Linked DNA regions of Anolis sagrei. Each later gene encodes a partner of the first gene's protein in a complex. Links are inferred from orthologs where the notes say so. Each region holds a gene or a part of one and is shown in the gene's direction. Other genes may lie near its edges.

The links.
Region 2: CDK9 (region 1) and EAF1 share a complex: the UniProt entries of both Homo sapiens proteins name them as parts of the super elongation complex. The link is inferred for Anolis sagrei from reciprocal best matches to the Homo sapiens genes CDK9 and EAF1.
Region 3: CDK9 (region 1) and EAF2 share a complex: the UniProt entries of both Homo sapiens proteins name them as parts of the super elongation complex. The link is inferred for Anolis sagrei from reciprocal best matches to the Homo sapiens genes CDK9 and EAF2.

What each region holds. Positions count from the first base shown.
Region 1 is NC_090031.1:16,133,703-16,145,032, reverse strand, and holds the start of CDK9 (cyclin-dependent kinase 9), read left to right. Parts: upstream 1-7,168; 5' UTR 7,169-7,172; coding exon 7,173-7,354; intron 7,355-11,330. Other genes in the region: SH2D3C (SH2 domain-containing protein 3C), read right to left, coding at 543-579. UniProt on the Homo sapiens protein: Protein kinase involved in the regulation of transcription.
Region 2 is NC_090026.1:80,125,811-80,136,244, forward strand, and holds the start of EAF1 (ELL-associated factor 1), read left to right. Parts: upstream 1-5,519; 5' UTR 5,520-5,604; coding exon 5,605-5,707; intron 5,708-10,434. Other genes in the region: tRNA N(3)-methylcytidine methyltransferase METTL6, read right to left, coding at 1-113, 2,240-2,536. UniProt on the Homo sapiens protein: Acts as a transcriptional transactivator of ELL and ELL2 elongation activities.
Region 3 is NC_090021.1:222,035,038-222,045,650, reverse strand, and holds the start of EAF2 (ELL-associated factor 2), read left to right. Parts: upstream 1-5,272; 5' UTR 5,273-5,377; coding exon 5,378-5,480; intron 5,481-8,723; coding exon 8,724-8,818; intron 8,819-10,470; coding exon 10,471-10,607; intron 10,608-10,613. Other genes in the region: IQCB1 (IQ calmodulin-binding motif-containing protein 1), read right to left, coding at 1-44, 200-362, 2,626-2,737, 4,616-4,753. UniProt on the Homo sapiens protein: Acts as a transcriptional transactivator of TCEA1 elongation activity. Acts as a transcriptional transactivator of ELL and ELL2 elongation activities. Potent inducer of apoptosis in prostatic and non-prostatic cell lines.

The sequences.
Region 1 (11,330 bases):
CCAAGTTTGGTTCAACTCCATCCTTGGTGGAGTTCAGAATGCTCTTTAATTGTAGGTGAAGTTTAAATCCCAGCAACTACAACTCCCAAATGACAAAATGCACACACATCCCACACCGAATCCACCAGTATTCAAATTTGGATGTAGCGGGTATTTGTGCCAAATTTAGTCTAATGAATGAAGATACATATTGCATATCAGATATTTACCTTACGATTCATAACAGTAGCAAAATTACAGTTATGAAGTAGCAACAAAAATGATGTTATGGTTGGGGGTCACCACCACATGAGGAACTGTATTAAGGGGTCGCGGTATTAGGAAGGTTGAGAAATACTGTACAGATCCACCTAACCATAGTTTTGCCTAGCCCACATTTGCCTTGTTTGTTTGCCAGAAAAGACCTTGGCAACTTCATCACAGTCCAGGAGAGACTTTCCTCTTTCACACAGATGCCATTACTCTATAGAGATGTAATGCCGACCTATGTTCCAGCCAAGGCCAGAGTGAGCAAATCGGTGTCCTGCGGTGTGTTCACTTACTTTTGAAGCCTCCTCCCCTCTTCTGGCTTCCTTCCATGGTTTGGGTTCCAACGAAGGAGAAGAAATGTGCACCAGGCTTACAACTTTCATCAAGCCCTCTTGGCACCGAGCCTGCCTTCCTTTCCCACCCTCTCCCCCCGCCCTTTCTCGCTTTCTGTTTTGCTCACATTTCCTCTGCACTTGCACAACCCTACTCTCTGCGTTTGCTTTGATCCTTTTTTTAAAAAAAGAGAGAATGAAACTCAAGAAAGGAGAGGGAAAAAAAAGGCACACGATGCTTCTGCGTGCCCTTTCCCAACACTTGCTCCTTTGGTTGTAAGACGTCAGTGGTCCATCGCGGATTCTGCCAAAATTATTTTTCTTTTAATGGGGGATTCTGGGAGCTAAAACCCCAAAATTAAAAAAAATCTCAAACTCCTGGTTCATTTACCTCCTTTCCCTCCTCCTCCTCCTCCTCTTCTTCTTCCTACATCCCGGTTACATCCCAAATAGATTACTGCAATGTACTTATCCCGAACAGTAATCCCGAATAGATTATTGCAACTATTACTGCTCTGGTTACATTCCGAATAGATTACTGCAATGCACTCTACGTGGGGTTGCCTTTGAAGACTGTTCAGAGACTTCAACTAGTCCAACGGGCAGCAGCCAGATTACTCACCGGAGCGCCATACAGGGAGCATACCACCCCCCGGCTGCGTCAGCTCCACTGGCTGCCGGTCCACCTCCAAGCACAATTCAAAGTGCTGGTCTTGGCCTATAAAACCCTATATGGCTCCGGCCCAGCTTACTTATCCGAACGTATCTCTCTCTACGTTCCACCTCGTAATTTAAGATCTACTGGGGAGGCCCTGCTTTCGGTCCCACCGGGGTCACAAACGCATCTGGTGGGGACGAGGGACAGGGCCTTCTCAGTGGCGGCCCCTCGCTTGTGGAATTCGCTCCCCAATGAAATTAGATCGGCGTCCTCCCTCCTCACTTTTAGGAAAAAACTAAAGTTGTGGTTTTGGAGTCAGGCTTTCAGCTAGTGGTCTTAGCAGCACTTAGACACTGAACTGGACCACGGGATTATGACAATAGTAAACGGATATGTGATTTTGATTAGGCGACTACATTAGTATATGACTATGTGATTTTAATTAATGTTATTGTTAATTTTTTATGTATTTGATTTTATGTTGTTGTATTGATATTATGGCATTGAACTGTTGCCCATGTCAGCTGCCCTGAGTCCCCCCTCGGGGGTGAGAAGGGCGGGGTAGAAACGATGTAAATAAATAAATAAATAAATAATAATTCTTAGTGTTTGTCCCATCAATTTGCAGGGTCTGCTTGTTTGCTTCTTGTTCTCCACTTGTTCCTATCGGTCACTTCTCTCATTTTGAGTCTTGCTTCAACCATGTTGTTGTAGATCAGCCACCAGAGGCTGATGGCTTAACTGATGGTTTAGAGAGGATTGTGCGCTTCCCTGTGGCACAAAGTGATGGGCTCTCAAGTCTGGGAAATTCAAGTCTGGGGAATGATGGTTCTCTTTGTGAGAAATCTGGCTTCGAAAGTGCAAAGCCTCAAGGTATTCAGAGTAGTCAAAAGTAGCAACAGCAGCTAAGGAATCGAGTGAAGAGTTGAGTAAAGAGGGCTACCATTAGAACCCAGGTGTAGTTACAGAGATCAACAAAGGTCTTTGTTTATAAATCAGAGCTGAAAATTCAGAGAGATTACGTGGGAAAGCTGTGAAGGAAATTCACAGGAAACTGAATTATTTCATGGGTGTCTATTAAGCAACAAGTTGTTTACCTTAAGGTCAGTTCAGGCAACTACATTAGTGAGAAACTAAGCCTGAGTTCTTTTGTTCTTGGATCAAATCAAGCCTTGATTTTGGATTTGATATTCTGAAAGTTTTCTATGTTCCTGTTCATGTACTCCTTATCAAGTTTTACTAGTTATATCTTCTTGATTGTGGACTTATGTTGTATCTATGAATTATTTCATGGGTGTCTATTACATACGTTGTTTATCTTAAGTTCAGGCAATGCTGCGTTAGAGTGAGAAGCTAAGCCTGAGTTCTCTTGTTCCTGGTTCAAGTCAAGTGTTAATTTTGGAAGTTTTCTATGTTCCTGTTCATGGGCTCTCAAGTCTGGGAAATTCAGGTCTGAGAAATGATGGTTCTCTCGGTGAGAAAACTGACTCGGAAGGTGCAGGGCCTCAAGGGCAGTCAGGGGAGCCAGAAGAAGCAGCAGCAAATAAGGAATCAAGTAAAGATCTGAGTGATAAGGAGGGTTCCCATGGGAATCCACGTATAGCTACAGAGATCAACAAAAGTCTGTGTTTATAAATTAGAGACAAAAATAGATTGTGTCGTTCAGAGAGATTACATGAGAAAGTTCTGAAGGAAATTCACAGGAACCAACAATTTCATGGGTGTCTATTAAACAACAAGTTGTTTACCTTAAAGTCAGTTCAGGCAACACTACGTTAGAGTGAGAAGCTAAGCCTGAGTTCTCTTGTGCATACTGTATTTTTTTTACTTCCTTTTTCCAAATTGAATTACATACAGTGAGTCCTCTGTATCTGCAGTCCCCAGATCTACAGATTCAACCGTCAATTTCATATAGACAATATACGAAATTATTAGTAATTAGTAAGTTGTATCTAATTCATAAATTTTGGATATGCCAGGCATGGGTAAACTTTGACCTTCCTACCAGATGTATTGGAATTCCCACAATTCCTAACAGCCCCAGGCCCCTTCCTGTTCTCCCTCAGTAGCTTAAGTTGGAGGATTGATTGCCCCTAAAGAAAGACACATAACGGACCCATGACTGTCATTTCAAGCTCTGTGGAAACTAAATAGCCCCTTGAAACTGGACAGGGTCCGCCAGCCTTCAAATGGAGCCATTGTTAGGCCTCTTATCTGATGAGAGATCCTACAAAAAAAGGGAGAAAACATCAGCCTGGGGAGAAAGGAAGCAAGGAAGCGACTCAGCCAAAGAGCAGAGTGGAGCACCAGGAGCACAAAGGTCACTCCGCCCCCAGTGCCCCTGCGGGATGGAACAGGAGCTGTGCAACCATATCTTAAGGGCACTTCCCTTTTCCCCATGGAAAAATACATCCCAAGGCATGTGTCCTTGTTGTTGTGTACCATCATGCTGACTTCTGCTTAAGGTGGCCTTCTCATAGGGATCCCTTTGCCATTACTTATTCAAGGAGTGTGTTGTCGTAACCGAAGGCTTCTATGGCCAGAAGCACTGGTTTGCTGTGAGTTTTTTTGGCTGCATGTTTCGGAAAACCAGAATCTCCAGAATGTCCAGGGTGGGAGAAAGAACTCTTGTCTCTTGGAGGCAATTGCCCACCTTGATTAGCATTGAATGGCCTCGCAGCTTCAAAGCTTGGCTGGTTGCTGCCTGGGGGATCCTTTGTTGTGAGGTGTTAACTGGCCCTGATTGTTTAATATCAGGAATTTCCCTGACATGAAACTAATATCGAGCAAGAATTTAGGGGTCTTTGCCAGGAGACAGAGACCAGTCAGACCCACCAAAGAGAGTCCGTTCACCCTGGCAAGACAGATAGAAGCACCCAAAGAATTTTCCCTGATTTTTCCCGATAAAAGTTTCACCAAATTGAAGAAAATGCCATCAAATTGCCCTTATTTTGTTCCAGTTGGTACGGATGTCAAGCTGCAATCCCTTGCCAAAAACTGACATGTTTTGCAAGACAGAACAGTACATTTTTATAGAGAAACAGAGCTGTCAAATTCAAACTTCCCGCCCCCGTCCCCCTTAGCCGGCTTCACGCTGATTGGTTGGAGTCATCAGCTAGAGGGGAGGTGCGGCCGGCTTAGGCATGCCTCAGCCAATGAGAAAGCCAGCGCCGCTTCGGCCTCTCAGCCAATGGGTAGAAGGGAGGCAGGTAACAGGAAAAAAAATGAAGAAATGTCCTTTTGATTGGTTTAAATTATTAATGTTTGCAAAATAGGGGATTATGAGATCATTCCAACCTGGTGTCCTTGGTAAAACTATGAATTCCTTGGTTTTGAACCATCTTTTACAGAGTCCTGGGGGAGGGGGAGGTCACCTCCAATATCAAAACCAGCCAAGCTTTCAAGCTGCAAGGCCATTAAATGCTAATCAAGGTGGTCAATGACAACATTACCCATTTGCTTCAAGCAGACAAGAGCTCCTTCTCCCACCCTGGACATTATTCCACAGATCTATAAACCCCACTTGTCTAGTTTCCAACAGATCTCACAACCTCTGAGGATGCCTGCCATAGATGTGGGTGAAATGTCAGGAGAGAGTGCTTCTGGAACATGGCCAGACAGCCTGGAAAACTCACCACAACCCAGTGGTTCCAGCCATGAAAGCCTTCGACAACACAACAAAGGAGTTAATTTCCAATTTACTAACATCAGTGAGGCTGATAATAGCGAAAAATTGGAAATAAAAACATGATTTTCAGATAGAATAATAATAATAACAATAATAATAGAAGACTGGTACAAAGAAGTGTGGAATATAGCAATAAACGATAAATTGACATAAGACTAAAAAATAATTTGGAAATTAAATGTTTTTTGGAATATATGGGGGAAATTGATAGCACATGTCTGTGCTGAAGGGCAAGGAAGCAAACCTGCAGTGTAAACAATGATGTTTTGGAAATAATATATGAAGCGGTTAGGTCCAGGAGGGGACAGCACCCATCTTTATTTAATTCAAGGAATTTATGTTGTGGATAATATGTTAAAATTGGTAAAAACGTTGAAGCTCAACTCAACTGTGCGAAAACATAATAAAAGTTATGAAAAAAAAAACTAGAAAGACAAACAGAGGATGCCTCCAGGCAACAACAGCCAATAAATACCCTCACTGATTGACTCAGCAACTGCAAGGCCACTCAATACTAATTGCAACATTCACCAGCTATTGTCGAAGGCTTCCATGGCTGGAATCAGTGGGTTGTTGTAGGTTTTTCGGGCTATATGGCCATGTTCTAGATGCATTCTCTCCTGACGTTTCGCCTGCATCTATGGCAGGCACCCTCTGAGGTTGTGAGGTCTGTTGGAACGAGGAAATTTGGGTGGACATTCCACAGATATATAAACTCAAATTTCCTAGTTCCAACAGACTTCACAACCTCTGAGGGTGCCTGCCATAGATGCAGGCAAAACGTCAGGAGAGAATGCTTCTAGAACATGGTCATATAGCCCGAAAAACCTACAACAACCCATTCACCAGCTAACTCCTCCCAACAAAGGATATCCCCAGGCGGCAACCAGTCTGGGTTAGAAGCTGCAAGGCCATTAAATGCTAATCAAGACAGCCAATTGCAACATTCACACTTGCCACAGACCAGGGTTCTTTCTCCCACCCTGGGCACTATTCCCGAAGGAGACTCAATCCCGAAGGGGACTCAGAGCGGTTTACAAGATATATCTATATAAATAAAAATGTAATGTTTGTTTGTGGGATTAACAGAACTCAAAACCACTGGACGAATTGCTGCCAAATTTGGCCACAAGACACCTAATAACCCAAGGAGTGACCATTACTCAAAAAATTAATTTTGTCATTTGGGAGTTGTCATTGCTGGGATTTATAGTTCACCTACAATCAAAGATCATTCTGAACTCCACCAATGATGGAATTGAACCAAACTTGGCACCCAGAACTCCCATGACTAACATGGGCATTGATCTTGAGTTTGGGAGTTGTAGTTCACCTACATCCAGACAGCACCGTGGATTCAAACAATGATAGATCTGGAACAAACTTGGCACGAATATTCCATATGCACAAATATGAACACAGATGGAGTTTGGGAAAATAGAGCTTGACATTTGGGAATTGTAGATACTGGGATTTATAGTTTACCTACATCAAAGAGCATTGTGATCCCCACTAATGACAAAATTGGGGCAAACTTCCTGTGCGTGTGTGTGTATATATATATATATATATATATACACACACACACACACACGCACAGGAAGTTTGCCCCAATTTTGTCATATATATACACGCACGCAACACACATATATACATACATACACACACAATATTATTAGCATACATACTCTCCACTTGCCTCACTGACAAAAGAACCTCAGAGGATGCCACTGACCACAGATGCAGGTGAAACGTCAGGAGAGAATGCTGCTGGAAGATGGGCACACGTTCCAAAAAAAATCACAGCAGCCCAATCATAATAATTACTCATTTCAAACTTCCTGCCTTTACTGTAAGCCAGGCTTTCCCTGTGTCTTCGATCCCTCTTTCCAAAGCTTTGTTTTCCACTGAGTCTAATGAAGGCCTCAAGCGGACTTGCAACCTTGTACTCTACTTTTCCCTCAAAGTGGTATCAATATTCCTATATAAACATATGTACTATTATTATTAGTTAGGATTGCTTTCTGTCATTGCAATATTATTGTTGTTGTTTTCTACCATTGCAATATTGTTGTTGTTACTTGGGAGAGCCAGACAGGCCAGAGGAGAAGCAGCTGCAATCCTTCCCGCTCATTTCGCCGCCCACTTCCGGACTCTCGCGCAAGCCCCGCCCCCTTCTCGAACTACGACTCCCGGCGTGCATGGCGGCGGCGGCGGAAGCGGATTACCGGAAGTGGCGTCCCGGATGGAGGCGAGGCCGGGCGGAAGTGCAGCCGCACGCCCCTCAGACGGAAGCCGCCGGCAGCCAGAAGAGGTCGGGGTCGCCAGTTCTGCCATGGCCAAGCAGTACGACACGGTGGAGTGTCCCTTCTGCGATGAGGTCTCCAAGTACGAGAAGCTGGCCAAGATCGGGCAAGGCACCTTCGGGTGAGCACCCTCCCCTTCCTTCCTTCCTTCCTTCCCTTCTCTCAAGCAGGCCTAGGCCAACTTGGGCCCACACCAACTCCCACAATCTCTAACAGCCTTCCGGTGCTTCGATTGTGCATTTTCCGGGGTCTCTTCCAACTCTATTACTACTACTACTACTTCTACTACTAATAATAATAATAATGAGGCTGGGTGGCCATCGGTGGGGGGTGCTTTGATTGTGCCTTTCTTGCATGGCAGAAGTTGGACTGGATGGCCCATGGGGTCTCTTCCAACTCTATTATTATTACTACTACTACTAATAATAATAATAATAATAATAATAGTGAGGCTGGGTGGCCATCTGTCGAGATGCTTTGATTGTGCTTTTCCTGGATGGCAGAAGTTGGACTGGATGGCCCATGGGGTCTCTTCCAACTCTATTATTAGTACTACTACTACTAATAATAATAATAGTGAGGCTGGGTGGCCATCAGTCGGGTGTGCTTTGATTGTGCCTTTCCTACATGGCAGAAGTTGGACTGGATGGCCCATGGGGTCTCTTCCAACTCTATTATTAGTACTAATAATAATAATAATAGTGAGGCTGGGTGGCCATCAGTCGGGTGTGCTTTGATTGTGCTTTTCCTGGATGGCAGAAGTTGGACTGGATGGCACATGGGGTCTCTTCCAACTCAATTATTATTATTATTGCCACATCAGCACTTTTAATTCTGTACCCATTACTCTAGCCCGGCCCAGTTTTATTGTGTTTTGGTGTATTGTTTATTGCTTGTTGTTTAATATTGCTTTAATTGTTTTTAATTTGCTTTAGGTTTTGTATTGTTATGTTGTGTATTGAGACCTTGGCCTTTGTAAGCTGCATCGAGTCCTCCGGGAGATGCTAGCAGGGTACAAATAAAGTTAATAATAATAATAATTCTACTAATAATAATAATATTGAGGCTGGGTGGCCATCTGTCGGGGGTGCTTTGATTGTGCCTTTCCTGCATGGCCCATGAGGTCTCTTCCAACTCAATTATTAGTACCACTACTACTATTACTACTACTAATAATAGTGAGGCTGGGTGGCCATCTGTCGGGGGTGCTTTGATTGTACTATTCCTGCATTGCAGAAGGGGTTGGACTAGATGGCCCATGGGGTGTCTTCCAACTCTATTATTATAGAATCATAGATTTGAAGAGACCTCATGGGCCATCCAGAAGAAGCAGGAATATTGCATTCAAAGCACCCCTGACAGATGGCCATCTGGCCTCTGTTTAAAAGCCTCCAAAGGAGGAGCCTCCACCACACTCTGGGGCAGAGAGTTCCACTGCTGAACAGCTCTCACAGTCAGGAAGTTCTTCCTAATGTTCAGATGGAATCTCCTTTCTTGTACTACTACTACTACTACTACTAATAATAATAATAATAATAATATAGAGGCTGGATGGCCATCTGTTGGGGGTGCTTTGAATGCAATATTCCTCCTTCTTGGACTGGATGGCCCATGAGGTCTCTTCCAACTCTATGATTCTATAATAATATTGATTGTGCTTTTCCTGTATGGCAGAAGTTGAACTGGATGGGTCTCTTCCAACTCCATTATTGTTGTTGTTGCTTCTACTACTGAGAGAGATGTGATTTAGAAAATTAAATTCCCAATTATTACAAGTCCCAGAAGCCCTGTCTATAGAGAAAGAATGATTGTTCTCTGTGTTCTTTTTCAGTCAAAGATACAAGCAGTAAGTTAGGGGGTAAGCTCATTCCCTTACTCCTTAAATTTTCTCAGCCATGTAGATAAGCAACTTGCATATAGAGAAGCCACAGCTCAGGGTCAGACATTCCAACAGAATCATTGTTATAGGCTTTGATGTTAAAAACATAGAAGGACCAATCAAAAGTTGCCTGAGTGTTGAGTATAAAAACTTGGTTAAGAGAGCCACAAGGGGCGGGCAGTCTTTGTTCTTTGACCTGAACGGTCAAGGGCTGTCTGTCTCAATGCTGATCAGCTTGAAAATAAAAGACTTGTTGAAAAACCTCATCGGATCTCGTCTCCTCCCTGCCCTCTGGGCTCCATCACCTTAAATTGGTTTCTAACACAATTACTATTACTACTACTACTACTACTAATAATAATAATAATAATAATAGAGGCTGGGTGGCCATCTGTCGGGGGTGCTTTGATTGTGCCTTTCCTGCATGGCAGAAGGGGGTTGGATTAGATGGTCCATGGGATCTTTTCCAACTGCATTCTATGATTCTACTTTCTTCCTTCTCCAGCTCTGGAGGCCCTTCCACACAGCCCTAGAAATATAAATATATTGTATGAGAGAGTAAATGTTTTGGGCAACTGAAATAACACTTCTGAAGATCTATATATTTTGTGCATTGGCATAACTTTGTTCCTAACAGTTCAGAGAAATATCCAGGTATAGCAGTCTAACCACTGAGGGCCCTTCCACACAGCTCTAGAAATATAAATATATTTTACTAGCAGTCCCCTGCCACACATTGCTGTGGCCCAGTCTGTGTATATGTGTTTTGTGTGTGTGTATATTTGTGTATATGTTTACTAGCTGTGTCCTGCCACGCGTTGCTGTGGCATATAGTAAGAATTTTCGAAGAAGAGGTAGATATCTGGACTATTATGAAAGAGCAGTACCTACCTATTCCTCCCCCCCCCCTTTTTCCCCCTTCCCATTTCTCTCCTTTCTTCTCTACCTCTTTCTTTCACTCCTTCTTTCGCTCTTTGGTTTCATCCTTCCTTCTCTCTTTCCTTCCTTCCCTCCCCCTTTTTCTACTTCTTTGCCTCCCTTCTTCCCTCCCTGTTTCCTTCCTATATATTTTTGCATTGGCATAACTTCGTTGCTAACAGTTCAGAGAGATATCCAGGTATATCAGTCTAACCACTGAGGGCCTTCCACACAGCCATATTCCAGGATATCAAGGCAGGAAATAGGAGTCCCTGGTGGCGCAGTGGGTTAAACCCCTGTGCCGGCAGGACTGAAGACCGACAGGTCGCAGGTTCGAATCCGGGGAGAGTGTGGATGAGCTCCCTCTATCAGCTCCAGCTCCTCATGCGGGGACATGAGAAAAGCCTCCCACAAGGATGGTAAAACATCAAAACATCCGGGCGTCCCCTGGGCAATGTCCTTGCAGACGGCCAATTCTCTCACACCAGAAGCGACTTGCAGTTTCTCAAGTCGCTCTTGACACGACCAGAGAAAAAGGACAGGAAATCCCACATCATCTGAGGGTGGACTCTGTGTCCTTTACTATACACACTAGACAAGTTTAAAATGTGCAATACAAAAGTTAAAAGGCAATTAAAAAGCAATTAATTGGTAGCTGTGTGGTTACAAAAAATTAAAATATAGATACTGAAATGGTATGTGAAACTCACACAATCCCACCCACAGCACCCCCTGAACTAAAAAGGTCAGGAGAAGTTTTTGGAAAAAAACCCCCAAAATACTGGAATTAAATTAGAGGGCATCCGTTTCTAGATGGAAGGTGGTCCCAGTCAGGGTTGACTTCACGTGCCTTCCTCTTGGCACATTTCTCCCTTTTGCCCTCAATTTGTGCCTCTTCAAATTCCGCAGCACTGCTGGTCACAGCTGACCTCCAGTTACAGCGCTCAAGGGCCAGGGCTTCTCAGTTCTTTCTCAGTGTCTGTGCCACAGTTTTTAAGGCTGGCTTTAAGCCCACCTTTAACTCTTTTCCTGTCCATCAACATGACTTTTCCCGTTCTTCAGTTGGGAATAGAAACTCACGCTGAATCTCTTTCCTTCCGCATCCCGTCTTTCCAATAACATCCAAGCAGATTGTAAAGCCAAGGGCTGGCTGTAACAGTGGGTCTTTCCTTCATTGTTGTTGGTCTCCCAGCAACAGATGTTCTGGAACAGCCTGGCTGTTGACTGTTGGTTGGCCTTGGGTTTTCCAGATTCTCTTGAACAGGCATGGGCAAACTTGGTCCCTCCAAAGCTGTTAGGA
Region 2 (10,434 bases), on another chromosome or scaffold:
GGAGAGAAATCACAGGCATAAGCAAAGATATTCAAATCCTCTTCTAAAAGTGGAAACAAACAGTTCCCAACACCACAGCCTGCTTCAAGAATTGTCAGTTTCTGATCGTCAAACTGTATGGTAGACAAATAATTACATCTGTTACATCCTAGCAAAGCAATAGAAATCCTCCTATTATTAAATATCAATACTTTTTTCAGGTTCTAAGTCCAAAGTGACTAATATTTCAGCACTATTCTACAGTTAAGGCCAGAAATAAACACCACCATGATTTTGTGTTATATGATGCACTCAGTTGCTGAATGCAATGGAGACAAAAAAGGAAGTTAGGGTGGGAGACATATCAACAATACTAAGAATATTTTAATAAAAATTAAAAGACCAGGCAAATACCATAATTCAAGTCAGAGTTGTATGTTGCAGAGTGTTAATATGTGTAGTATGGAATGGTTTTTTTTTCTTTTAAAAGGATGGCTAAGCTATATAATAAAACTTTATTTATATTCCGTCCTACCTGCAAATCCAATCTCAGATCCTTCTGCTCTGTTATTCAAGAATGCTGACACAGTTACCAATTAATTGCACTATAATCTTTCAAATAGCTCTAAAATATTACAGCCTTACAATGCAATGAATCTTTTTACACACCCAACATGAGAAGGAACTAGATTAATTCAAGAGAATATTTTCAAATCTACCTCTTGACTGAGTCTAGGTTCACTGCTATGAAAAAAAGAATGTGATGTAATCTGTTGAGGACACATTTTAAGCCAAATTTTGCCAAATTCAACTGAAATAATTTATTTGTATCTCTATATACCATTTTTTACTCAGAAAGCATCAGTGAGTTTTGGGAATGGACTCTTAGTTGTCCATTCCCAAGGCCTTATCAAATTCGCTTCCTTTGATTTTTAACATTAGACACTTCCAAAAAATATTTATTAATTTATACTGGAAACACCTGAAGCATGACTGTTGTCCTCCTAATAGAAAAATAATTTCTAAAACTGATTTATTCTACAACAGCTTTGGAACTACACTAGTTCCAACACACCTTTATACAGATAATGTAAAGATATGGTATCACAAACTTATCTAACTTTGAACCAAGGTATGTTGTACAACATTGCTGCAACAAAATATACGACCCATTGGCAATCTTGTGCCTTTAAGATGTAGTTAGAGTACTAGAACAATTTGTGCCTTGACTGCTGCTTGGGGATGATGGGAGGTGTAGTCGAAGGTGGTTAGGTTGGGAAAAAGGAAGAGAGACTGCTCAAACTCCTGGACTACTGTGCTCTTCCAAAATGCTAAATCAAGCTTTACAACATGCAGCTTTGATCAGACGTGACAGCTCCTTTATGACAGTAGGACTTCTGAATAAGAAGCTATTGACTGACAGACCTAAAATATATATGTGAAGGGTTGGTACACCGCATCTCATCACAGAAACTACAACTGCTGCATCATGGGATAAATGAAGCACATCTCTTTTGCCTGAAGCCCATGACATTCACATAAAATTGTACATCTCAGGATAAAACTACAACTGCCTACAGTCTTCCAGCAAAACAAAATACTTCTATAGTAGCTCTAACTTGAGATGCTTCCATGGAAATTATGGATCACTCAGGCTGTTGTTGGACTATAACTCCCAGCATTCCTTAACCCTGGAAACTGTGGTCTAAAAATACTTGGAAGTTTCTAGTGCTGAAAAAGGAGATTTTGCAACATTTCCACTTGTTTTTCCTCCATAATAGATCTTTTTCTAATAAGACAAAAAGGTAGCAGAAGCAACCAAAAATCATAGGATAGTTACATATAGAAGATGATGCATTTGGGCCCTCCAGGAAAGACGATCCAGAACTTGGAATGCTACTTTTGAAAAGTAATTTGCTAGTGCTGTTGGATTTTCTGTTTCTGTTTGTGTGTGTGTGTTTTTAAATAACTTGTGCCTAATTGTGATTCATTACTGGTTAGTTACATTTTATTTACTTTTAAAAATGTACTTTGTAATACTAATAAAAATAAAAAAAAATGACCATAAATCTCCTGAAATCAGTGTTTTGGATCAAAATAACACAGGTTATTCCAAAAAGCAACACTGTTACAGTTACTTTTAAGGTTACTTTTCCAAGTAAAGACACTGCCAACACCATGCTCTATAGGTAATGTAGTTATTTGGCACAAGTTACTTCCAAATTGGGCAGCAAAGCCATCTCTGGAAGATGAAACTCACTTCACGGCAGGATTTTAGTTCTTCAAACTCTCTTGTTGTCCAGTGTCTATCCTTGAAAAAATTTGTGCTGTTCCTTTTGTAAAACAAGTCCCAATTCCTTTGTGCTTCTTTCTCAAGCTTCTGTTGCTTGAAATCAGATACTACGACTGGATCTTTGGCCAGCCTTTCAGCTTCTTCGGGGCTAAGCGTTCTCATCTTATGTCCTCTTCTATGGAAACCTCCATTTTCGAGATCTGATATTACCCCATCAAGTTCAGCTGCAGATGACTCACTCTGGAGAAGCCTCAATTCGTTCATTTCGATTAAAGGAGGAAGCGCAGATTTGTAGTCACTGCATTCCTTAATCGCATACTTCTAGGAAAGAACTAGATTCAAGACGACAACAAGGGAAAGGTTACCATTTTATATCTTCCACTTGAGAACACAGCAAAATGATAACAGGATCTTCATGGTGATTCATTTCCCTATAATATCACTTTTTATAAATATAAATACATTTTTATGCAGAAGAAAAAAGCAAAAGAAGAAACAATGTCAACAGCAGATGTAAGCCTCCCACAATAGATTGGGATACAGTAACCTTCCCTAACCTGTTGTCTTCTAATATGTCAGATCTCAACCACAAAACTGTGCAATTCGGGGGAGAAAAATAAATTTAGGAAAACTGCTATACAGGCAGTCCCTAAGTTACGAACAAGATGGGTTCAGTCGGTTTTTTCTGAAGTTGAATGTACATGCATGTTGCAACAGGTAAATTTTAAAGTGTAAGTCCGGATTATTTATATATATGTGTGTGTGTGTGTGTGTGTATGTGTACACACACACACACGCTGGTGGGTCAAAATGTTTTGTCTCCTGTGTCATAAAATGTTATAAATGAACATATAACAGCAGAAGTTGCAACCAATCATAGCCTGAACTATCCTCTACTCAAAACTACAGTTCAACATAGTCACCATCAATTTGCACATATTTGTGGCATCATTTAACCCAGGCATCAAAACCATTTCAGAAAAATTCAGGGTTTTGCTTCATGACCCATGATTTTAAAGCTGTTTTAACATCATTCAACCCATTGAATCTGAAACAACGTAGGTTGTCTTTCACAGGAGCTCTGGCTTCTCTGTGTAGTCTGACACTGAATGACGTTAAAAAAGCTTTAAAATCATGGGTCACAAAGCAAAACCCTGAATTTTTCCAAAATGGTTTTGAAGCTCAAATGAAGCTTTCTCACCAATCCCTGTTTCCACAACAAGCCACATTTTCCAGAGGGACAGAAAATGAGGTGAAATCTTCTGAACAGAGGCCCCGTTCACACAGCTGAATAAAACCCCACATTTTCTGTGAAGTGGAATATATAGCAGTGTGGACTCAGATAGCCCAGTTCAAAGCAGATATTGTGGGATTTTCTGCCTTGATATTCTGGGCCATATGGCTGTGTGGAAGGGCCCAGAGACACAGGATGCAAAACAAACACCACTGGGGTGTCAACCCTTCCCTATGCGATCCAAAGCTTTTATATATGAAATATATATATGCAGGCAGTCCCCAAGTTGTGAGCAAGATAGGTTCTGTAGGTTTGTTCTTAAGTTGGATTTGTACTTTTTATCAAGTGTTACTCCAGCCATATATTTGTGTGTGTGTGTGTGTGTGGCTAGAGTTAGACCAGGCATAAGCATACTTCGGCCCTCCAGGTGTTTTGAACTTCCAACTCCCACAATTCCCAACATGTTAGGAATTGTGGAAGTTGAAGTCCAAAACACCCGGAGGGCCGAAGTTTGCCCATACCCGAGTTAGACTTTAAAAAGTATCTGTTCTGACTCAGGGCCCTTCCACACAGCCCTATATCCCAGAATATCAAGGCAGAAAATTCCACATTATCTGATTGTAGATTCAGGCCCCTTCCATACAGCTGAATAAAACCGCACATTATCTGCTTTGAACTGGAATATATGGCCGTGTGGATTCAGATTCCCCAGTCCAAAGCAGATATTGAGGGATTTTCTGCCTTCATATTCTGGGATATAGGGCTGTGTGGAAAGGTCCAATATCTGCTTTGAGCTGGGTTATCTGAGTCCACACTGTCATATAGTCCTTTGCAGAAGCATAGGAGAAGCTCGGCCTGTCATTAAACATTGAGAAAAACAAAGTGCTCTTCCAGCAGTTGACAGTCAGCCCCTCTCCAATGCCAGAAATACAGCTTAATAGTGTAACCTTGGCAGCTACCTCTCCACCAAAGTCAACATTGACACTAAAATACAACATCGCCTGAGCTCTGCAAGTGCAGCTTTTTTCCAAATGAAACACAGAGTGTTTGAGGACCAGGACATCCATAGGGATACCAAGGTGCTTGTTTATAAAGCTATAAAACCGCCGACGTTGTCCAGATGCCCGACCACCGTCTCCCAAAGTAGTTGCTCTACTCCGAACTCAAGAACGGAAAACAAAATGTTGGTGGGCAGGAAAAGAGATTTAAAGATGGGCTCAAAGCCAACCTTAAAAACTCTGGCATAGACACTGAGAACTGGAAAGCCCTGGCCCTTGAGCACTCCAGCTGGAGGTCAGATGTGACCAGCAGTGTTGTAGAATTTGAAGAGGTATGAATAGAGGGCAAAAGAGAGAAACGTGCCAAGAGAAAGGCGCATCATGCCAACCCATAGGGCTCCACAGTCACCTACGGACCTACCGCCAGGACACCGATCTTGGAAGACAATCCTACTAGGACAATGAGGGATCACCTAAGAAACTAACATAGTCCAGTTCAAAGCAGATAATGTGGGATTTTATTTAACTGTGTGGAAGGGGCCCTTGTTCAAAGAGGATATTGTGGGATTTTCTGCCTTGATATTCTGGGTTATAGGGCTGTGTGGAAGGGCCCTGAGTCCACACTCAGATATTGTGTGATTTTCTGCCTTGATATCCTGGGATATATTAATGTGTAGAAGGGGTCTTTGAAACAAATTCAACTTAAGAGCAAACCTACAAATCCCATCTTGTTGGTAGCTTGGAAACTGCCTGTAATTCTACAGCGGTGTCTCTTCTTTTGCCTTCCTAAAAGGCCTCAAGAGCTACAAAGCCGCCCCCACCAACACGCACCGCTCTCCTGAGGCGCTCTGTCCATGCTCAGAGGCGCCCTTGACTCATCCAGGCTCATCCTCCCTCTTCTTCTGTGGGATCTTCTTTCTCTCTCTTTCTGCGAGGCCTAAGCAGCCTGCTCGCCTTCCTGCCTCCTTGCCAAGCGGGGAACCCTTTCGCGGTGACACCAAGCCCGGAAGAGAAAGCGAAGGGAAGGGAAGGAGGGAAGGGAGGAAGAGAGGGAAGGAGGCAAACGGCGACCGGCATCGTCGTTGCGGCCTGCGGAGGCCATGAACGGCTCGGCGAACCCGCTGCTGGACAAGGAGGAGCACCCGCTGCAGCTGGGAGAGAGCTTCGAGCGGCACCCCAAGGCCTCCTTCCACACCATCCGCTGTGAGTGGGACCCGGTTTACTAGGCCGCGATGCGCACAGGCCTGTTTCCTTCGGCCTTTGATTTGGGACACAGGCGTTGGAGTGGCTCAGTGTTTGGGACTTCAAGCCCCTTTGGTTTGGTGGCATCTCCATTTGAGGGTTTGTTTTAAAGGGGGGGGGGATGTATAGAGTGTTCCCCAAAGTCACAATCAATAGAGGAAATGTAACTTTTGTTTACAAGGTACTCACTACCAACTCTTCTCTACCCTTCCTCGAAGCCTTCTCTGTCATTCATATCTATCTATCTATATCTAATATAAATAAAAATGTAATGTTCGTTTGTGGGATTAACAGAACTCAAAAACCAGTGGGCGAATTGACACCAAATTTGGACAACATACACCTAACAATCCAATGTATGTCCTTCACTCAATTTTTTTTGATTTTGTGATCTGGGAGTTGTAGTTCTTGGGATTTATAGTTCACCTACAATCAAAGAGCATTCTGAACTCCACCAATGATGGAATTGAACCAAACGTGGCATGCAGGACTCTCATGACCAACAGAAAACACTAGAAGGGTTTGGTGGGCACTGACCTTGAGTTTGGGAGTTGTAGTTCACCTACATTCAGAGACCACTGTGGACTCAAACAATGATGGATCTGGACCAAACTTGGCACAAATATTCTATATCTCCAAATATGAACACATTTGGGAGTTGTAGTTACTGGGATTTATAGTTCACCTACAATCGAGCATTCTGAACCCCACCAACAACAGAACTAGGGTAAACTTCCCACACAGAACCCCCATGACCAACAGAAAATACTATATATATAAACCCCTTTTCCTAGTTCCAACAGACCTCACTACCTCTGAGGATGCTTGCCATAGATGCAGGCGAAACGTCAGGAGAAAATGCCTTTAGAACATGGCCATATATTCCGAAAAAACCTACAACAACCCAGAAAATACTGTGGTTTTTGGTGACCCTTCTGACACCACCCTGGTGACACCCCCCCCCCCCCCGGTCTTGACTTCCCAGGTTGAGAAATGCTGCCTTAAGGCCATCCAGTCCAACTCCCTTCACCAGGGCAAGAAAACATAATCAAAGCCCTCCTGACAAAGAGCCATCCAGCCATTCACACACACATATATGTATAATGACAGATGCAGTATCAAAGATTTGAAAGGGACCCCTAAAGAAGGACAATGATATGTTGCATGTCCAGAGTAGGCAAACCAGACAATCTCCACATCAACACTGACAAAGAAACAACAAGAAATACTTTTAACCCACAAGCATAAAGGCATTACATATATTAGAAACCAACATTGTCTCATTACTTTATTTTCCAGATCACCAGACAGGGCCACAGCAACGCGTGGCAGGGGACCACTAGTACAATATATAATCTAAGGCAGGCCTGGGAAAACTTTGGCCCTCCAGGTGTTTGGGACTTCAACTCCCACAATTCCTAACAGTTGTTAGGCCCTCCAGGGAGTTGAAGTCCCAAACACCTGGAAGGCCAAAGTTTGCCCAGGTTTGATCTAAGGCCCCTTCCACACAGCTGTATATAATCCACATTGAACTGGATTATATGGCAGTGTGGACTCAGGGCCCTTCCAGACAGGCCCTGTATCCCAGGATCTGATCCCAGGGTTTCTGTTTTAAACTTGATTATATGAATACTCACTGCCCGATAATCTGGGATAATTCTCTACAAATTGCACTTTTCATTGCTATCTCATCCAGAGGTTTATCATTTTATGCCATACATTTGGCCCACCCATTGTGTTGGATTTTCTATTATGTTATATTGTATTATTTATTTTATTTGATTGGTTAATTTTTACTGTGATGTTATTTTGTTGTTTATATTTTATGTTGTTGTAGTGTTTTGCTGAGCTTGGCCTCATATAATCCGCTTTGAGTCCCCTTTGGGGTGATGGTGGTGAGATAGAAATAAAGTTTATTGTTGTTGTTGTTGTTAACAGAAAACCTGGGATCAGATCTTGGGATATAGGGCCTGTCTAGAAGGGCCCTCAGATAACCCAGTTCAAAGCAGATATTTTGGATTATCTGCCTTGATTTTCTGGGTTATATGGCTGTGATATAATACAATTTTCTCAATTTCTCCCTCTATGTATATAGAGACATTGGGGACACTACCTGGCTTGTAAAGAGTCTGCCTTGAGTTCCTATACTGTACTATTTATAATGGTTTTGTATTGTATTTGTATTTTTTATATTTTATTGCTGTGTTTTGTTGTATATTGATGTATTGCATTGTTGGGCTTGGCCTCATGTAAGCCGCCCCGAGTCCCCTTGGGGGAATGGTGGCAGGGTATAAATATTTTTAAAAAAATATATATCATTATTATTATTAATCTGTAATAAACAGAAAACCTGGGATCAGATCCAGGGATATAGTCCTACATTGCCATGTAAAAGACAGATTATCTGCTTTGAACTTGATTAGATGGCAGTGTAGGCTCATCTAATCCAGTTCAAAGCAGATAATGTGGATTATCTGCTTTGATAAGCTGGATTATATGGCAGTGTAGAAGGGGGCATAGTCTCTTCCATCATAAAATGGAGGACAGGGGGAATGTAGCAGCACCTTTGACTTTGGATTTTTTCTATCAAACAATTTCAAGCCATGAGTAGTTAGACCTATGGATGCAGTTGTGCAGAGGGCTGGCTGGTAACAGCCTTTTATTTTAGCATGAGCTTTCATGGACAGCAACCCACTTCTTTTTTTCGTTAAAGATGTTAACCTTTAAGTAAAGATATATAGAAAAAAGATAGAATCATAGAGTTGGAAGAGACCTCATGGGTCATCCTGCCTAAAAGCAGGAATATTGCATTCAAAGCACCCCTGACAGATGGCCATATATAGAAAAAAGTTTTAAAAGGAAATACAAAGAAGTAAAAGGAAGAAAAACATGACATAATTATTCATATCTCACTTTCTAACATTAAGACAGTTTCTCTTTTTTCCTACAAGTAATTCCTTCTAATCTTCAGAAGGTTACTAGGTCTGTTTTTTTTCTTCTGGTTATTGTTTTCAAGAAAGCCCATAAGGAGTTTCCAGCAAAAAGAACCCCATTATGATCAAACAGATATGAACCCACTTCTTCACAACTCACTTTGTACTGCAACTGAAGCAGAGAGTTGATAACCATGAGAGCTCATGCAAGAATAAAAACCAGTTCGGCCCCTTCCACACAGCTAAATAAAATCCCACATTATCTGCTCTGAACCGGGTTATATGGCAGTGTGGACTCAGATGGACCCAGTTCAAAGCAGATATTGTGGGATTTTCTGCCTTGATATTCTGGGTTATATGGCTGTGTGGAAGGGCCCTTAGTCTTAAAGGTGCTGCTACATGCATACTGTAGTTTCAGGTCTCTGAAAAATGGAGGAATGAAAACCACTTTTGTTCTTTTTGATTTCCTGAGGAGTTTGCCTTCCCTTTTACTAACCCTACTATTATTGTACCATCAACAGCTTCATAACCAAATATTTAGGTGGTGCTGCCTTTCCTGTTGTGAGAATAATTACTTGGGAAAGCTGGGAATAATTGTTGGGAAAGGTGATTGGGCTGCTGTTCAAAACTCAGGAGCTGGACTACTAGAAAGTTGTCAGTCCTCTCATTCCGATTACAAGCCCGATTGCCAGTGCCAAGATGGAAAAGTCAGCAGTTTACAAAAGAGTGGCTGTAATTGCTTGCAGCAGCGAAATCAAGGCCCATATGCGACTTGTTGCAGATTAAATTGGTGTTAAAACAGTAGTGAGAGGAATCAACTAGGATATATAAACCCATTTCCCTAGTTCCAACAGAGCTCACAACCTCTGAAGATGCTTGCCATAGATGCAGGCGAAACGTCAGGAGAGAATGCCTCTAGAACATGGACATATAGCCCGAAAAAACCTACAACAACCCAGTCAACTAGGAAGTTGGCATCCTGGACTTGAACATGTTTCTGTGAAACACATTATCGTTTGGAAGATTGTCCTTCTCCATCTCAAAGTGTGATCACTTATCTTTCTCCCTTTATCACATTGGATTAGCATCCAGTAGGTTGCTGTTCATTTTTCCAGACAAAGGACTGTATGTAAAGTAGAATAAACAGCCAGGTTTGCCAATTCCTGTGGTGATTACAGTGTACTGCAGACATCAAATCATATTAATGCTTATTCAATAACGTTAGAAATTCCATTTGATTTCTCTGGAACAATCTGCTGTTAAAAGCAGGAAAAACGGGCCAGGCTGCATCATTTATTTAGGTCAGCAACCTGCCTAGAGTTGTTAAAAACTAAGAGAGAAGGAGTCCTTTCACACTGCAAAATTATAGTGCTAAGTTCCATTTTGACTTCCATTGTTCCACCCTATGGAATTCTGAGGTTTTCAGATGATGATAATAGTGGTGATTATTTTATTCATGTATAGCCTGCTTTTAATGGTAGTCAAGACAGCTTAAAATATATTTTGAAACACTAAAGAATTGTACAATACACTCCAATAAAATAAGATAAAATTAGAGGACAACTAGTCATCTACAACTAATGTGGATATTTTGTTTAGATTTATGTTATTACAGAATTTTGTCTGATTACATGTAGTTTAATTTATTGATGTCAGGTTTAATTTACTGATTGTAGGTCTTAATTTGATGTTAGGTTTTACTGTTACTTTTATATGTGGGGGTTTTCTGGGATTTTATGTTAGTATCATGTGTTT
Region 3 (10,613 bases), on another chromosome or scaffold:
ATTCCTCAGATTCTTCTTTCACCTCAAGACCCACACAACATATGCTGAGAAAACAAAACATATGCATACTTTTCCCCCCTTAGCATTTGTAGGTAATACATCCATATCTTGATTACACATACACGCCACACAAAAATTTAAAAACAGAAAAGTTACAAGTGATTCAGTAATAAAGCCGTATAACTACAAGATGCTTTACCTTAGTATCTCTGCTAACTGGGCAGCAGTAGTCCAACCTCCTAACACTCCTGTATAATCTTGCTTAAGGACAAATAGGCAGTATTGAACCAGATCATAATAGTATAAGTCTTGCTTAATTTTTTGTAATTCATTACTTCCAGGGACAACACTTGTTAAAATATCTAGGGCATAAAAACAAATGGAAACGTTCATGTTCCTGATTTATACAATAAAGGCTGCATTCACTTCATCACCACCACCACCATCATATTTATTTGTAACTCATCTTTCTCCCAGTTCATTTTGGTGTGGATGAACTGGGACTCAAGGCAGCATACAATTTGAAGAGAACAACATGACTAAAGACAAACAAAAAGTGAACAATAAAACTAATCACAGTATTTAAACAGTTCAAAGCTATACTTAATGAGATACAATTTAAAAGATTAAAACTATTAAAAATCATAGAGTGTAAAATAACACAGAACTTTAACCCATTCTTTAAAAACATATTCTTGAACAGTTAACATGAACTGATAATACAGTCCCACATTTCCTGCCTCTTCTGCCTTATTACTATAGCTGTTATCATATACTGAGGTATAACAATAGATGTACAAAATCAAGAAGAACGAGTTGGCATCTCACACCTAGAGTGCTTATAGCTGGATTAGGCAAACTGTGACCTCCAGATGCTATTGGTCTACAACTTCCCTCGGTTATCATGGTGGAAGCTTATGGGAGTTGCAATCCAATAATTATTTGCATTTACAAGTTGCCCAGCCTTGACCTACAGGTTAGATTTGATGGGCAAGGTAAGACAGGCAAAGCAATCAGGATAATGGCACAGACAAGACTTTAGCAGCACTGGAAGCACACCTAAGTAAAGATTAAGATGGTTCAGAAAAAGCTTTGAACAAGCATGAATTATAGCCACAAAACAAGACAGATACTGAAATGGGGTTTTGGTAATCAGAGGGTAAGACTTCCTTCTTCTGCACAGCTAGAATTAGCAATCTTTGCCCACAAAGACTTCCTTTACTGGAAAGTAGTCCTCTAGCAATTCAGAGTTCCTCTAACTATAATGCCTTTGTGGTTTTTCCTCAGTCTCTCTTGAGAATGAAATGTTTTTAAATAGGAATAATATTTGCCATGGTAACATAAAGAGAACAGAAGCCTTGTCCTAGTTTTTTTTTTCCTGTCAGGAGCGACTTGAGAAACTGAAAATCGCTTCTGGTGTGAGAGAATTGGCCGTCTGTAAAGATGTTGCCCAGGGGACACCTGGATGTTTTAATGTTTTACCATCCTTGTGGGAGACTTCTCTCGTGTCCCCACAGGTGGAGCTGGAGCTGACACAGGGACCTCAACCTGCTCTCTGGATTCGAACCGCTGACTTGTCGGTCAGCAGTCATGCTGACACAAAGGTTTAACCCATTGCGCCACCAGGGGCTCCTCTTGTCCTAGGTGAAATCTAGCAAACATATACATGCCTCATTGTTGCTCCATCTGGTCCCTAATTCCTGCACCTATTTTCCTTGAAAATACTTATAGGTTCTGTGAACAAACCCACATAACTCCCAATCAGGGTTGACTATTCTTATTAAATGCATTGTATTAAAATTAATGTACCTGTAGTATATGGCCTGATCACCGGCAATACAGACAAGGACCAAATATGATAGACTTAGTTATTTGCAAATGATTTTTGTTTAAGACCTTGGTCCTTGATGACTATATCATTCTTACAGCTACTCTATTAGGAAGGGACATAGGAAGAACTAACTTACTCCATGCTAATAAATTCTCTTGCTTTTCTAACCCCAAATCAAGTTTTATACTCATACTCATAAAATTTGGAGCAAAACATCAAAGAAGCACAGGTGTTATTTCAAAAACCGTCATCAGATAGAGCACTGTGATAATGAATTTTGAATTTATCAAATGTATTGTTGTTTAAGCTTTGTGTTTTTTTATTTTTATGTATTTTGAGTCAGTACTGTATTATATCTGAACGGCATTAAATTGTTGCCTAGCGTTAGATGCTCAATGAGGGGGAAAGGCGGGAAATAAAACAAAGTAAATAAATAAATGAAATAAATTTCAGGTTCATTTGTTATATAAGAGGCTTTGTACATATTTGTCTCATGTACATATTTGTCTTGAAGTTAAAACAGGAATGGAAAATGTGTAGTGTGGGTTTCATTTTCAGTTCCCAGACCTTGCTTCCCAGAAAAGCAATTTCATTTTGAAAGAAGATGCATACCTTGTTATAAAAGAAAAAGCCTAATGTTGAGATGACTACACCTTGATGTAAATGGGGAAAATGCCCCCCCCCCACCCCCCGCATAAGATGTGACAGTATTACCAAGGGACCTATGGCACTAGAGATTTTAGGATAGATTAGTAGAATATTGTCAATTCCTAAGCAAATAAATAAATACTTACCTTTTATCTTTAGCAGTAGCCCAGGGACATCCTGACCTGAGCTTTCAGTGACCTGGGCAGCCAGTGACAATATTCTGGGATCCACAGGTAATGGCTTCATTTCATAGGACAGCTGTATTTTAATAAGAGAAAGGAGGACAAAACCAGCAAGATATTTGCCTTCGGTTGGAGAAGAGTGGATTAGATGATGTGTCTAATAAAATTAACACCAGATATGTTCTGAAGGCAAATGTCATTAAGAATCTCACAAATTCTGTTTTCTTAAAGATACTTTCATCTTTTTACCTTTATAATATTGGTGAGCCGGGGGAGTTGTCCCACTCGCAGCTACAGTTGAAAATATACTTTTATGGCAGATTCATTCCCTAGCATTTTCAGTTTAATGGGTTCGCATAAAAGATGCAGAAGTTTAAGATCAGCTGTCAGTCAGAACAAAGAGACCTAGATTTGACTGTCAGTAAATCATTTCCAGATAATTTCATATACTGTGATTCACCAGGTATCATTTATAGAATTATCATCAGATAATTGCATGCCTCCAAAACTGAAACAAATAGCTTTTTATAACTACAAGAATATTTTGTCATGTCAATTTATTATTTTAATGTTATAACCATAACTATTTCAACACATGAGAGCAACCCTTCCTTCCCCACCAGTTCGACTCTGCAAATAGATATGCCAAATGTAAGTATGAACTCCTTGTATGCTAAACCACCTGCCCTATTTGGGCTTTCTTATGCCCCTTCAACACAGCTCAATAAAATCCCACATTATTTGCTTTGAACTGGGATATATGGCAGTGTGGACTCAGATAACACAGTTCAAAACAGATATTGTGGGGTTTTCAGTCTTGATATTCTGGGTTATATGGCTGTGTGGAAGGGCCACCAAATTAACAGTTATGGGGAAAGCGGGGTTGGACTACAAGGAGTGTTGAGGGCAGAAGTACTAAAGATGTTTCTCAGAGCCCTTCCACACAGTCACATAACCCAGGATATCATGGCAAAAAATCCCACAGCATTGGCTTTGAACTGAGTTATCTGAGTCCACACTGCCATTTATCCCACTTCAAAGCAAATAATGTGGGATTTTATTCAACTGTTTGGAAGGGGCCTCAGTTAACAAAGCCTCTGTTGAAGATGCCCCTTATTGGCAGTCTTTTTAATTCGCATTCACCTCGCTTTTTTCTCATTATCCTGTCTAGCTGGAAAGGTTGTTTAGCTGCATCAGCACTGGAAGGCTCTTAATGATATACTGGAGAATGACACACATTTTCAGTGTCAGGTTACAACAAAATATCAGAAATACATATAATAAAGTGATAGCGGCGAAAGTATGATAGCTGGGACACAATGCCAAGACAGCACAACGAGTGAGAGACACAGCTGTGACAGAGTCGTGGCAAAATAGTTTGCCAGAAAGGGGGGGGGGGGGGAGGTCAACAAATAGCCAAGCATACTACTTAAGGCTATCCGGATATCGTATGCAAGCACGTTCAAATATGTAACGTCTTCGCTTCTCTAACTGACCCTCGTCACGCAACCAGAATTGGGTCCCAGCTATCATACTTTTGCCGTGATAGCTTGGAAAAAGCTGGATTCTATACTCCATGGGATTATTATAACTGTTTGTGCCTACCTACAGCAGGCAAGGGAAACAGCAGGCCCCAGAATCCCATACTGAGCATTTGAAAACAATGCAACAGAGACAACGGGGAAGCAGATAAGATAAGTTAGGTTAACACCAACATGCTAGCGCAAAAATAGATATGGAAATTTGATAAGGAGTAGAGATTGGTAAAAGAAAAAGCCATCTCTGGATGCATTTTGCTCATAATAAGGGTGGCCTGGAGGCCTCTCCTTCACAAGGGGTGCATCTACACTGTAGAATTAATGCAGTTTGATCCAATTGAACTGCTATGGCGCAATACTATGGAATCCTGGGAGTTTTCGTTTGACAAGGTCTTTCAAGAGCGCTGGGGCCTCACCAGGCTGCAATTCGCGGGATTCATTCCACAGCATTGAGCCGCTGCACCTAAAGTGGTGTCAAACTGCATTAACCTTGAAGGAGCTGGGAGCTGGGGGTGGTAACGGCCGACAGGGAGCTCTGGCGTAGGCTGGTCCATGAGGTCACGAAGAGTCGGAGACGACTGAACGAATGAACAACAACAATAGATGCAGAACACTAATAAAGACCGTTGAAGCCGCACTCCTTTAGAAGACCTGGAGAACAACGTTTCTTCTCAAGTTATCTTCAGGTATCAAGGCATTCTTGATCCACTTCTCAACCGCTTCCGCTCCCGACCGGAAACACTAGTGAGGTTTCCCTACCAACGGCCAGTTACCATGGTGAGGGCACAAGGAGCCCACCAATCAGCAGCGCCGCCATCCTCGGAGCGAGACGCCACTGCCCGTCGCCCCGCCCTAAACCACCCTAATTTGCATAAACAGCATTCTCTCGCGCTCCGGGAGTTTCAACCTTTCTTCATTCAGCGACAGTGGCAGTGTCGCTAACCAATCAAAAAAGCCACAGTTCTCTTGCGTCACGCTTGTCCCCAGAACGGGGCGGGACGTATCCAGGTGGGCGTGGTGTCGGCGCAGTCGCCCAATGAAAGGAAGGCAGGAGGGGAAGGGGGCGTGGCCTTTGTGAGCTGTGTGGCTTGGCTGAGGCGGGGCGGGCAGTTGTGGCAGCGCTAGGCAGCGCATCTCTTCGAGAGTGACCAGAGCGCAGGACTGCGTGTGGCGGGGGGATGAACGGGGCGGCCCCGCCGCTCTTCGACTGTAAGGAGCGCATCCTTCGGCTGGGCCAGAGCTTCGAGAGGCAGCCGCGCTGTGCCTTCCACACCGTCCGCTGTGAGTGAGGCTGGACCGGCGTTCAAGCTGCCAGGAGGGTCTGGGACTTCATTTCCCAGAAGCCTTTGCCACCTTTTCCGACGGCCAGGAATTCTGGGATCTGAAGTCCAGAAGGGCTGGAATGTTCAGAATTCTTTGATCACAGTGATGCTGGACTTCAACTCCCAGAAGCCTTAGCTACCTTGGTCAATGATGAGGGATTCTGGGAGTTGAAGTCCAAAGCACCTGGCTGGCCAGAGCTTGGGAAACAGTGTAGATTTCCCTGGGTTGTCACCATACTCCAAATCCTAGGGTTCTATAGGATGGAACATTAGCAGTCGAAGTGGTGTTAAACTGCTATAATTCTGCAATCTGGATTGAGTGAGGGTGAGAAGCAGAAGGTAAAAGAAAGGACTGTCGAGCAAAGCGCTGGATCTTCGGATTTCAATGGGGAGGAGAGTTCAGAAGATTTTGGGAGAGGAGGAACCTTGAGCTATTTAACATAATCAGTATGCAAAGGGATCTTGTGTCACCTTTGAGACTGATTGGGAGAAATAAATTGTAAGCATAAACTTTTGTAGTCACCTGTTGCATGGAGTAGAGTGACTTTTATGAGCAGACAATGTGAAGAGCTGGGTTGCTGTGAGTTTTCTGGGCTGTATTGTCATGTTCCAGAAGCAGTCTCTCCTGGCGTTTCACCCACATCAATGGCAGGCATCCTCTGAGGTTGTGAGGTCTGCTTGAAACTAGGCAAGTGGGGTTTATATATCTGTGGAATGCCCAGGGTGTCTGTCTGAGGCAAGTGTGAAAGCTGCAGTTGATCAGCATTGAATAGCCTTGCAGCTTCAAAGCTTGGCTGCTTCCTGCCTGGGGGAATCCTTTGTTCGGAGATGATTAGCTGGCCCTGATAGTTTCTTGTGTGAAGAACCATAGAAATGCAAAACTTGTGGCATGTTGATGAAGTGACAAGTTCGGTTTTTATAACAGCCATTATTCGGAGATGTTAGCTGGGGACACTGGTGCCAAAAATAAAGCGTGAGACTTATGACTAGATCCAAGTGTGAATCCCAACTATACATTGGTATCTTTTTCAAAGCAGGGAAGTGGAGCCTCATCATTTGGAAGTTTTTAAGCAGAAGTTAGATGGCCATCTGTCAGGGGTGCTTGGATTGTGTGTTCTTGCATGGCAGGATGGGGTTGAATTGGATGGCCCATGTGCTCTCTTCCAATTCTATGATTCTATAAGAAAAGGGGTATATACATAATACACAAAAGAGAAAAAGCAGCATATACATAATAATAATAATAATAATAATAATAATAATCAACATCTTCATAATTGGTGGCACTTGCATAAATATTAACCAAATTCACATTCATTAAAAGGATATTGCTGAACTTATAGTTGGGTCTAGAGCAGGCATGGGCAAACTTGGGCCCTCTGGGTGTTTTGGACTTCAACTCCCACAATTCCTGACAGCCTACCGGCCAAAGTTTACCTATGACTACTCTAGAGTAACGGATGCTTGAGATAGGACGCACTTTGCATATTACTGGAATCCTGAGATCTGTTCAAAATCTTGCTTGCCCTGAGCTTTCTTCATTTTGAGAGTACCATTCATGACCCTGTTACAGTAGTCATTTTGTTCCTACTCCTTTTAAATAAGTGGAAGTCAAAAAATAATTGGTGGTCTGTTGAAAGTTTCTTTGAAATTTGTCAATTTATCATCTTTATTAATTCATCTAATACTGGTCTTTAAATGTGAAGAATATTGGCAATTTGTCCTTAAATGAGATATTTTGGGTACAAGGGGAACTATAGACTCTATCTGTGTTTAGTTAATTTATTTGAATGAGCAAAAATTGCTCTTTTTTGCAAAAGCAGTGAGAGTATGAGGAAGGAGTAAATTGATTTTGAAAAACTCCCATATTTGTAAGGAAAGTATGGAAAGTACAGTGGCATATCAGGTTAAACCGCTGGGCTGCTGAACTTGCTGGCAATTTGAATCTGGGGAGCTGGGTGAGCTCCCACTGTTAGCCCCAGCTTCTGCCAACCTAGCAATTCGAAAACATGCAAATGTAAGTAGAGCAATAGGTACCGCTTCGGCGGGAAGGTAACGGTGCTCCATGCAGTCATGCTGGCCACATGACCTTGGAGGTGTCTACAGACAACACCAGCCCTTCGGCTTAGAAATGGAAGTGAGCACCACCCCCCAGAGTCGGACACGACTAGACTTAATGTAAGGGGAAATCTTTATCTTTCCCTTAAGTATGGAGGAACTAGCCCCTGTGTTGATGTTAATCTCATTGAGAATATCACTTTCATCTGGTGGTTTCCATTATTTGCAATAATCTACAGTGCTTCTAAGAATCAAACACAAGGGAAAAGAGAACTTGGCAAACTTAAATGGGGAACTACCATTCTGTGGTTTTGGGAAAGGAACATTAGAGCCGTCGCAAACTAGGTTCCTGCGGGAGAAAACCTTGCTAGCAAGTCCCTGACGTCATGAGCCTGCGCCTCTCTCCCCGCCCCTTTCTCCGCCCCTTTCTCTTTGCCAGCGTGGTTTTTCCTTTGCTAGGGCAGCATTGCCCGCATTTTCTCTCAGTTGAATTCAGCCAACTGAGAGAAAATGCGGGCAATGCTGCCCTAGCAAAGGAAAAACCACGCTGGCAAAGAGAAAGGGGCGGAGAAAGGGGCGGGGCGAGAGGCAGAGTCTCGTGACGTCAGGGACATGCTAGCAAGGTTTTCTCCCGCAGGAACAGAGTTTGCGACGGGCCTTAGGATGCCCGGAAATTGCCAGATGTTAGCCAACAACAGGTTGTGCCACATAAACCTAAAAAGGCATCCTAACAATAGCTTACTGTGGCATGAGTTATTATAGTACAGCATCTGAGGGCTAGCCCTAAACACACACACACACACACACTGTGTGTGTTTGTGGATTGTGTAGTTCTCTACCATGCTCTTTAATCTTGACGTTTCTTCTATTTTTAGCAGATTAATCCTATTTTTAGCAGATTAATTCAGGCAGATTAATTGAATTTAGCAGATTAATTCAATTTATTTATTTATCAAATCACGATTCAGTAAGAATAGACATTAACATATCTAAAACTATGCACTTTTGGTTCAACATGGCAAATCAGCCAGCAGTGGAAAAGACACCAGGGGAAAGATCCCGCATTTCCCTCCCTCTTGTGACCTGATCAGTGTTGAAGTCCTGAAAAATATTGTCATTGTCTGTTTTCCTCTTTTTTTCTTAGATGACTTCAAGCCTGCATCCATTGATACATCTTCTGAAGGAGACCTTGAAGTTGGTAAAGGTGAACAGGTGACAATAACTTTACCCAATATTGAGGTAAGTTTTCTTCATACCTAGGGAGAAGAGGTGTAGTTTAAGTCTTAAATCATAATTACTTTTAATACTTGAAGTATGAAATAAAATAGACTTTATTTCCATAGAGCCCCCCAGTGGTGCAGCGGGTTAAACCGCTGAGCTGCTGGACTTGCTGACCGAAAGGTTGGCGGTTTGACTCTGGGGAGTGAGGTGAGCTCCCGTTGTTAGGCTCAGCTTCTGCCAACCTAGCAGTTTGAAAATATGCAAATTTGAGTAGATCAATAGGTACTGCTCCGGCGGGAAGGTAGTGGCGCTCCATGCAGTTATGCTTGCCACATAACCTTGGAGGCGTCTATGGACAAAGCCGGCTCTTCGGCTTAGAAATAGAGATGCCCCACCGAGTCGGGCATGATTAGACTTAATGCCAAGGGGAAAACTTTACTATTGTTTCCATTCTTGACTACTTAGAATGGCAGCCTTTTTGAAACCATTATGAACTTCTTGTTTAAAGGAGAGTTGAAGAATTTGAGACAATTGTTAAATGATGAATCCTAATAACAAAGTGCCTTGGATGAATTAAACTATGAAAAGTACATAATTTGGGCTCTGTTTATATTTTAGGTTCTAAATAGCTTCACTGTAATTTTACAAAAAAATGCCTTTAAAACACAGTATCTGGTTTATTCAAAAACTTGTGTTTGTACAAGGTGGACCAAAAGTCACAAAAGGGTTGTAATATTTAATAACACCTTTTTTGTTTTTGATTTACAATGCCATTGCATCATATACTGTATTTTTAGAGAATTATATGTAAAATATTTCCAAAAAATATTTTAAAAGACAGGCACATTTGTGACTTTTGGCCCAATATCATGTTTGCACAGACAAAATAATATATTTGGCAAGTTTTTCTGAAAAACTCAAGCAGTTGCTTGGAGACAGCTTTTTTTTTTCCTCATGGTTTGTTTGACATGCCCCCTACTTTCTAATGCATCCTTCTCTTATTCTAGTTTTCTGATAGAATTTGTATTCTTGTAGAGTATGTTCACATTTCTTCTGCTATGGAAGTATGTTCCCATGATGTGATTTTTTAGTTAAAACACACATTGATGCCAAAATATTCTCATGAAATAATCAATGTGTTAAGAAGAGAAAATAGTTGTGCAAACATTTAATCAAAAATGCAGCTGAAACAGTGTGTGCTTGTATGACAATTTCGAGTCCATTCAATGTAGGAAAGTTCCTTGTTGCCATGTTGTATTGGTAAAAAATAGAATAGGATAATTCAGTGTGTGCTCATAGTTGTTTGTGACTGCTGATGCCAACAAGGACTCGCTTTTTGACTGTTCCCTAATTGAGGAAGCATGTTAATTAGCAGCTGGGCTGAAAGTCTCTACTAATAACAAGCTAGGAGAATGAATCAACCTTCCCCTGGGTTGACTTCAAGATCTTACAAACAACCTTGAAATATTTTTTAAGCATTGGTTTTGTTATGACAAGTAAACCCATTTTGATATGAAGATTGCGTTTTTGTAACCTGAAATTTCTTTCATAATACTGGGGAGGAAAAACTCTTGGAACAAAGCATTGTGAAATGTAACTGTGACATATTAATCTGTTTGAATTTCTTTTTAAGAAACAGCAGAAGTAATTATCTTCTGATTTTAAAATAGGGTTCTACTCCACCTGTAACCGTTTTCAAGGGTTCCAAGAAGCCATATCAAAAGGAATGCATCTTGATAATTAACCATAATACCGGAGAATGTAGATTAGAAAAGCTTAGTAGCAATATCACTGTGAAGAAAACCAGGTAGGT